Linked DNA regions of Mus musculus. The protein of the gene in region 1 interacts with the protein of each later gene in a biochemical or structural test. Links are inferred from orthologs where the notes say so. Each region holds a gene or a part of one and is shown in the gene's direction. Other genes may lie near its edges.

What was found.
Region 2: the proteins of Jag1 (region 1) and Cd46 form a complex in vitro, tested with the Homo sapiens proteins (2 studies listed by IntAct, with this or other methods). The link is inferred for Mus musculus from reciprocal best matches to the Homo sapiens genes JAG1 and CD46.

The regions. Positions count from the first base shown.
Region 1 is NC_000068.7:137,085,380-137,089,031, reverse strand, and holds part of Jag1 (protein jagged-1 precursor), read left to right. Parts: intron 1-321; coding exon 322-435; intron 436-522; coding exon 523-636; intron 637-803; coding exon 804-920; intron 921-1,388; coding exon 1,389-1,416; intron 1,417-1,869; coding exon 1,870-1,955; intron 1,956-3,000; coding exon 3,001-3,114; intron 3,115-3,652. UniProt on the Homo sapiens protein: Ligand for multiple Notch receptors and involved in the mediation of Notch signaling. May be involved in cell-fate decisions during hematopoiesis. Seems to be involved in early and late stages of mammalian cardiovascular development.
Region 2 is NC_000067.6:195,082,247-195,085,898, reverse strand, and holds part of Cd46 (membrane cofactor protein precursor), read left to right. Parts: intron 1-463; coding exon 464-566; intron 567-2,262; coding exon 2,263-2,351; intron 2,352-3,119; coding exon 3,120-3,317; intron 3,318-3,652. UniProt on the Homo sapiens protein: Acts as a cofactor for complement factor I, a serine protease which protects autologous cells against complement-mediated injury by cleaving C3b and C4b deposited on host tissue.

The DNA.
Region 1 (3,652 bases):
GGGAGGAGCCACCACTGGGGGATGATAGAATTAGATTGGCAGTTAGGTTCTTTCCAGGCACGTATTCTGACTTGTTGACATTTCTGACCATCTTGATTTTAATTGCCATGGGCATTCCGGAGGATTGTGTGCTCTTTATAACTTGTATTCTTTCCGCCTAGCCGAGAACTTGTCTAAAAGGTTGATGATGAAGTTGAGGTCCTAGGACATCTCACTTGTTCTTGGAAGATAGCATAGAAAGCCAGGGTTGGATCTTCTCATAGTCGAGCTTTGCCCCTTATCATGACGGACTTCTTCAGCCTTGTGTCTCTTTGGTTCTAGACATAAATGACTGTAGCCAGAACCCTTGTCACTACGGGGGTACATGTCGAGACCTGGTCAATGACTTTTACTGTGACTGCAAAAATGGCTGGAAAGGAAAGACTTGCCATTCCCGTAAGTGTTGCTGCCGGGGTCTCCTGTCTGTCTTCTGAGGGAGGGGAACTCTCTAGCAGAGAGACTCATGCTAAGGTCTTTCTTCAGGTGACAGCCAGTGTGACGAAGCCACGTGTAATAATGGTGGTACCTGCTATGATGAAGTGGACACGTTTAAGTGCATGTGTCCCGGTGGCTGGGAAGGAACAACCTGTAATATAGGTAACCTTCTGCCCCCTAGGTGGGATTTGCTGCGGGCAAGGCTATTGTCTGAGGTGGTCTGCCGCCAGGCTCTTAGGAAATGATCATTTCCTTGGGTCTGGTTCTGCCCCTTAGACCACCTTGGATCCTCTGGAAAAGGGTGGTCTTAACCTGTTTTTGTTTTATAGCTAGAAACAGTAGCTGCCTGCCGAACCCCTGTCATAATGGAGGTACCTGCGTGGTCAATGGAGACTCCTTCACCTGTGTCTGCAAAGAAGGCTGGGAGGGGCCTATTTGTACTCAAAGTGAGTGGCCTCCCCTGAACTCTTTCTGGGTTGCTGCAGCCTACCCAAAATACCCATGGGGACTTGGAATCGAAACCAGAAGCACAGCTGTTTGATGTCTGCTTTCGTATCACCTGGGTCCTTACTAATGACTTGATGGGCTGCAGCCCTGACCTGGGCATGAGAAAGTTCCCTGGGAGATAAGTGGAGACAGATGCTGACTCTGTTCCCAGCCGCGGGTCTGACCAGCAGCCTGCCTCCTCCCATTCTCAGCCCTCCCTACTCCCTGTTCCCTACAAGGGCCTCTTCCTGTATACATGTGTCCCACAGCAAATGAAACTGAGTATGGTCCAGGCCTGCTTCCAATTTAGACTAGGTTTTCGGCGTATTTGACTGGTATTAAGTGTGACTTTTATCATTTGGGTGCTATGGAAATAAGTAAATGGTGCTGTGATGGAGACCCCCAAGGCTGTTGTCTTTTCTTTGCAGATACCAACGACTGCAGTCCCCATCCTTGGTAAGTGCGGCAACCTCTTAAGCTGGTTCTTGGCTGTTAGGATGCATGGGAATCTCCCGGGATGATGCTGAAAATGTAGGTTCTGATTCAGGAGGTCTGCGGTGGGGCTGTGTGTTTCTAACAAGCTCCCAGGTGACCCTGCCCTGCTGCTCCGCGGACCACACTTTAATTATCCAGGTTGTGTCTTCATTTAGTGCAATGATTCTCAACCTCAGGCTGCACAGGGGAATCACCTGGGGAGCTTTTAAAAGTCCCAATCCCTGGGTTGCGACTGAGACCTAGGAAATGAGATTCTCAGGGGGTAGGACCCAGGCATCAGTATTTTTAAGCTCCTCGGTCAGCAGCAGATATGGCCTGGGGTGAAAGCCTGTGTTTGTGGCAGGCACGGCTTCCAAGTGCTGGGTATGTTGTGGACCTGGATGTCGGTAACTAAGGTCACCTTTGGTTTCTTAGTTACAATAGCGGGACCTGTGTGGACGGAGACAACTGGTATCGGTGCGAATGTGCCCCGGGTTTTGCTGGGCCAGACTGCAGGATAAGTAAGTGTCACTGTATCTGATGTCCCCTTGTCTGTCCTCCTCAGCATTCAAATCTTTCCTCTTTAAAAACAATGAAGACCATAATTCCAAATAACCCTGACAACTCAAGCCCTCTCCTCCCTCTAGCTTGGATTTAAAAGTCCCTCGCTGTTGTCCTCCCTCGTCATTCTCTGGGTGGCACAGCCTTCTTTGTTCTCGGGGAGAGTGCCAACCATAGAATTTGACAATTAAGCTATGAGAGAGCCCTGAGGGAAAAAAGTGTATGCATCCCTCGTGATTAGCATGAAATTATGGCCAAGCCATTGTCCATGAAGACGGCTGTCTCTGGCTCCATAGACTGTTTTGTAGTGGGTTTGACCAGGCCCCAGAGAAACAATTAGTAGGATCAAGGAGTAAGGTTTTTTCTTAGTGTTTGTTTTGTTTGTTTTTCTTTTTGCCTACTTTTTAAAACATCTTTTTCCCACACAAAACAGTGTAGGAAAACTCTTATTTTTGTTGTTGTTGTTTTTTTTTTTCCTCAAAACTTTAAAATGTTAGTTGTATTTGAAGTCCCATAATCTGAGATGGGCTGGACTTGAGCACTAGGTGAGTAAGTTATATCTGTTTCACCTTCTAAAGCGGGTTTGGCAAAGGCATCTGTCCCACCTGTTTTTGTAAATGAAGTTTATTGGCACTTGGCTGTCCTTACTTGGGCTTGTCTATTTCCTGCATCTGCTTACAGGGTGCCACCAGACACCACTGGTTATGACCGACTTTATGGCCTATGAAGTTAAAATGCTCGCTCTGACCCATTTTCAGGGAACGATGGTCAGCCTTGGTGTAAAGTCAGAGGAGAGAGAAGCTAAGGGAAAATTGCTCCCTTTGCAGAGGTTCTCAGATTTAGGAATCAGAACTGTTGTGGTCTTTGGTAGTCAGGGGCTGGTACAGGCTTTGTGTGTTGTGTGCATGGAAATTCACCAAGTTTGTATCAGCATTTGGATGCTTTTGGGCAATGTCTGTGAAAAAACTTCCCACCGAAGTCTGAACTTGACCTCATTTCTCCTAGACATCAATGAGTGCCAGTCTTCCCCTTGTGCCTTTGGGGCCACCTGTGTGGATGAGATCAATGGCTACCAGTGTATCTGCCCTCCAGGACATAGTGGTGCCAAGTGCCATGAAGGTAGGCATGCCAGGGTGTGTCTTCTGAATTGAGTGGGCTTCACAGTTACCACAGCTCACAGTGGGGGGGGGGGGTGCACCATGCTCAACGGGGAAGGGAACAAAGCAGGGTGGTACCTATGGGTTTCTGTTGCCACTTAGTTGCCATGTAACAAAGTTCCTTAAAACCCAATAGCTTGCAGTATCCATTTTTGTGGCTTGTAGCATGATAGCTGGGCAGAGCACTGATTCCAGGCGCAGTTCTGGTCAACTGGTCCTTAGCTATCTCTGAGGCATGTTCTTCTTCTCATGATAGATGGCAGGCACACGGGAGGCCAGCTCAACTGGGAAAGCTCTGTTACAGGGCCTCTCGGGTCACATCTGCTGAGACTGCTTTAGTCAAGTGACCCAAGTGAGCAGTCAGAGGGGATGGATGGCCAGTGCACGTGCCTGACATTGTGGGAGGAGCTGTCATCACGTGGCAGAGGAAGGACACGGGTGTAACCAATTTCTTAACAGGGAGGGGGTAAACAAATTCAGTCTGTGGGAAAAGAAACTCC
Region 2 (3,652 bases), on another chromosome or scaffold:
AATTGCTACTCTTGTGCTTGCCCTTTGTATTAGTTACTTTTCTGACACTGAGAAACAACATGACCAGGTTTAATTGGGCTTATGGTCTCAGGTGTTAGATACATAATGGTTGTTAAGACACAGTGGCAGAAAGAGCTGGGAACTCACATCTCAGAATGACAAGTAGGATCAGTGAGAATACTGGTAATAGAACAAGTCTTTTGAAACTTCAAAGCACACCTCATTCTAGTGACATTCTTCCTCCAGCAAGGTTACACTTCCTAATCTTCCCCACACAGCCAACAACTGGGAACCCACTATTCAAATGCCTTTATGGAGGCTATCTTATTCAAACCACCACACTCTTACAATGTAATTATTAAATAATCCACAATCTCAAAAGAACTATATATGATTTTGACTTTGATTCAAGTGCAACTGGCACTGGAGCTATATTAAAGTTTTTATTGTTATTTTCTTCTAGAAGTTCAATGTACTATGTTACAAGACCCTTCATTTGGCAAAGTATACTACATAGATGGCAGCTTTTCATGGGGTGCTCGAGCTAAATTTACTTGTATGGAAGGGTAAGTTGCTCATTATGGGAAATAAGGTAAATGTTCCTGATTCCATTGTTGTACTTCTGTTGTTAAGCATTCAAATAAATATACTTTCATTTTGCTTCTAAATGACAAACCGTGCCCCTAACCAAACAATATTTGGGTCCTTTATAGTGGTAGGAGAGATATTTAATAAATAAAGAAATTGGAGGAAAACAAGTGTGTATAATACTTGCTATATCTAATAAAAAGTCTATGATAAACATTAAGAATGGGAAAATCTTCCAGGGATAATGATTCATACTTGTAATTTCAGCACTCAGGAGGATGAGACAGACGGGTCTCTATGAGTTTGAGGGTAGTCTGGGACACACAGTCAGTTCCAGGCCAGTCCGGGATACAGATCCAAAGAGGGTGGGTAATTATGGTGACCTTATCCTTCACAGTCAAGTATATTTACTGCCAATTCAAGGTTGAAGTAGGGTTATAATGAACTTGAGGTAGAATTACTAACCAAAGGAGAATTCTGGAAGGTATTAGCAAGTCAAAAATTAAGATGATTCATCTTAACCACCATATGACAGGATATTTCAGTTGGGAAACATTATTTTCTAGACTGCTACTTAACCTGAACCATCTCAAAAGGAGACATTAGCCACTGAGTAACAGTTTTTATTCTCTAGGACTCTCTCAGAAGTAATTACAAGTCTTGGGGAAAGTAGGCTATGACTATCTGTAAACAGAGTTTCATTGATAATTTTTAAACTATCACGTAAAAACACATTCAGTTAAAGCTATGTGGAGGAAATTTTCTAGGCATGTTTAGGGAACCAAACATTCAGGGCATAAATCTTTCTCAAAGACACTGTAATCTTGTTGAGAAATCCAGTAGATACAGAAGCTACTGAACAAAATAACAAAAAAAATGCCAGATAAGAATACTTCATGATGGTGACATGGGGGTCCACAATAACAATCTGTGCATTTAAATCATGGGAGACTTGATAGGATTAATACTGATCTGTTTCTAGGAAGACATTATGATCATAATATTAGTAAGAGTTAACATTATTTTTACTTGCTGTGTGCCAGACTCTAATTTATCTAATTCTCTTGAACAATACTATGAAATCTTTGATTTAATTTTGTTTGTTTTGTTTTTGTTTTGTTTTGTTTTTACAAGAGGTCTCACTATGTATGCCTGGAGCTTGCTGTGTATACTAAACTGGCTTTGAACTCACAGAAACATGCATGCCTCTACCTCCTGGGTTCTAGGATTAAACTTGTATGCCACCACACCTATCTATTTGTATGTTTTTAGTTGAGGAACAAAAGAAACTTTAAATGGTTTGCCAAAGGTTAAGTGGCCAGCAGTCATGGAGCTAGGACGAGAACCCAGACAGACCTTCCTAAGGAATCCTTTCTCTGCTTCATCCTCTCAGAGCAGAATGGATGAGCAAAGGCTCAGATGCATACTTATATGATTGTAGGAGATAGCAAAGATTCCAGTTCACATCAGATGTTCCTAGATATAACAGTGTGTGTTCACAAACTATTCATCTGATTAAAGCTTATTTTGATTTGTTTAATTCTTTCATTATACCTTAAAAAACCTGTCCCTCAAACTACTATATTAAGGGGAAGTCAATTAAAACTGTCCTTCATTATTATGTGTATCTTACCAGCTACCAAAGAAAATAGTAACTTTTTCTTTGCTATCTAGTTATTACGTAGTTGGTATGTCAGTTCTACACTGTGTGCTTAAAGGTGATGATGAAGCATACTGGAATGGCTATCCCCCACATTGTGAAAGTAAGTAAATTCTCTTTTTAAAATTTAGAATATGAGTTCTCAACCTCTTGGCCTGAGGACCCTATTATAATTTTAGATTGATAAGTGCCCAAAAATCTTTTCTCTGTGGTTATATCTATAGATAGTAATCATGTTAAAGATGTTTTAAAATAATTATTTCTTTTTAAGGACAATAAACTCACATGTTTTTACTGAAATTTCAAAAAGTGAGGCTAGGGACACTGCTTTACGGTTTTGTAATCTCTTCAATATTTGGCTTAGAGGAAGATATAGGGAGTTAATTCCTTTGATTATCAAAATTTGTAGCTTTTGCAAAAAGCTGATTGTACTGTGAGGATGAAAAATGATAAATGATAATATGTTAGTATGATTGCAAGCCACCAGGCTAGTGAATGAATGTAGCTGTCTCTTAACACACATTTCTCATTCAGTTTAATTTTTTTACATCACAGTTTTTCATTGGCTGATCATCATCTTTTCTATAAAGTAGCACAAAATTTAGCATGGTCTCACAAATAAACTTTGTGTTTTCCCTTAGAAAAATGAGTATTTGTCCTAAAAGGTCATTTCTTAGGGGTTTAAACTTGGGATGATGGATTTTATCAGAGAAACTGTCTTCTAGATGAAATTTCTATAAGTTATAGATAACATAGAAATCCTGTATTGAAGAATTTGTTTACGATAATTTATAGAATTTTCTAAGACTGTAGTGAATAAAGACACTACATCACTTTTAACTTTTATTTCCCCTTTTTTCTTTTTATAAAGAGATTTATTGTTTACCACCTCCAAAAATAAAAAATGGAACACATACCCTTACTGATATAAATGTATTCAAATACCATGAAGCAGTAAGTTACAGTTGTGATCCTACCCCAGGGCCAGATAAGTTTTCCCTTGTTGGAACAAGCATGATATTCTGTGCTGGCCATAACACCTGGAGTAACAGCCCTCCGGAGTGTAAAGGTAACCATATTTTCTTCATTTGTAAATAGTTTTACCTAAAAGTAAACATAGTAAGCACATGTACTTCCTCCTCTTATGAAACTATGTTCAAATTTAATGTCATAGCTTTTAAAGTTAAATTTAAAAAATCATTCCAGTTATGGTGTTCTCATTTCCTGGTATGTGAGCTACTACCCATAGCCATGAGGTAGGATATTTTTGTTTGAAAGAACCAAGAGATCAACATATACTGGCTGGATAACTCTGATAAGAAAGTGTTCTCTTGTGTTACAGGAAGATGGAGCAGTCTAGCTATAAGAAATGGCAGAGTGGATTATAATCAGCAGCCCTCTCTC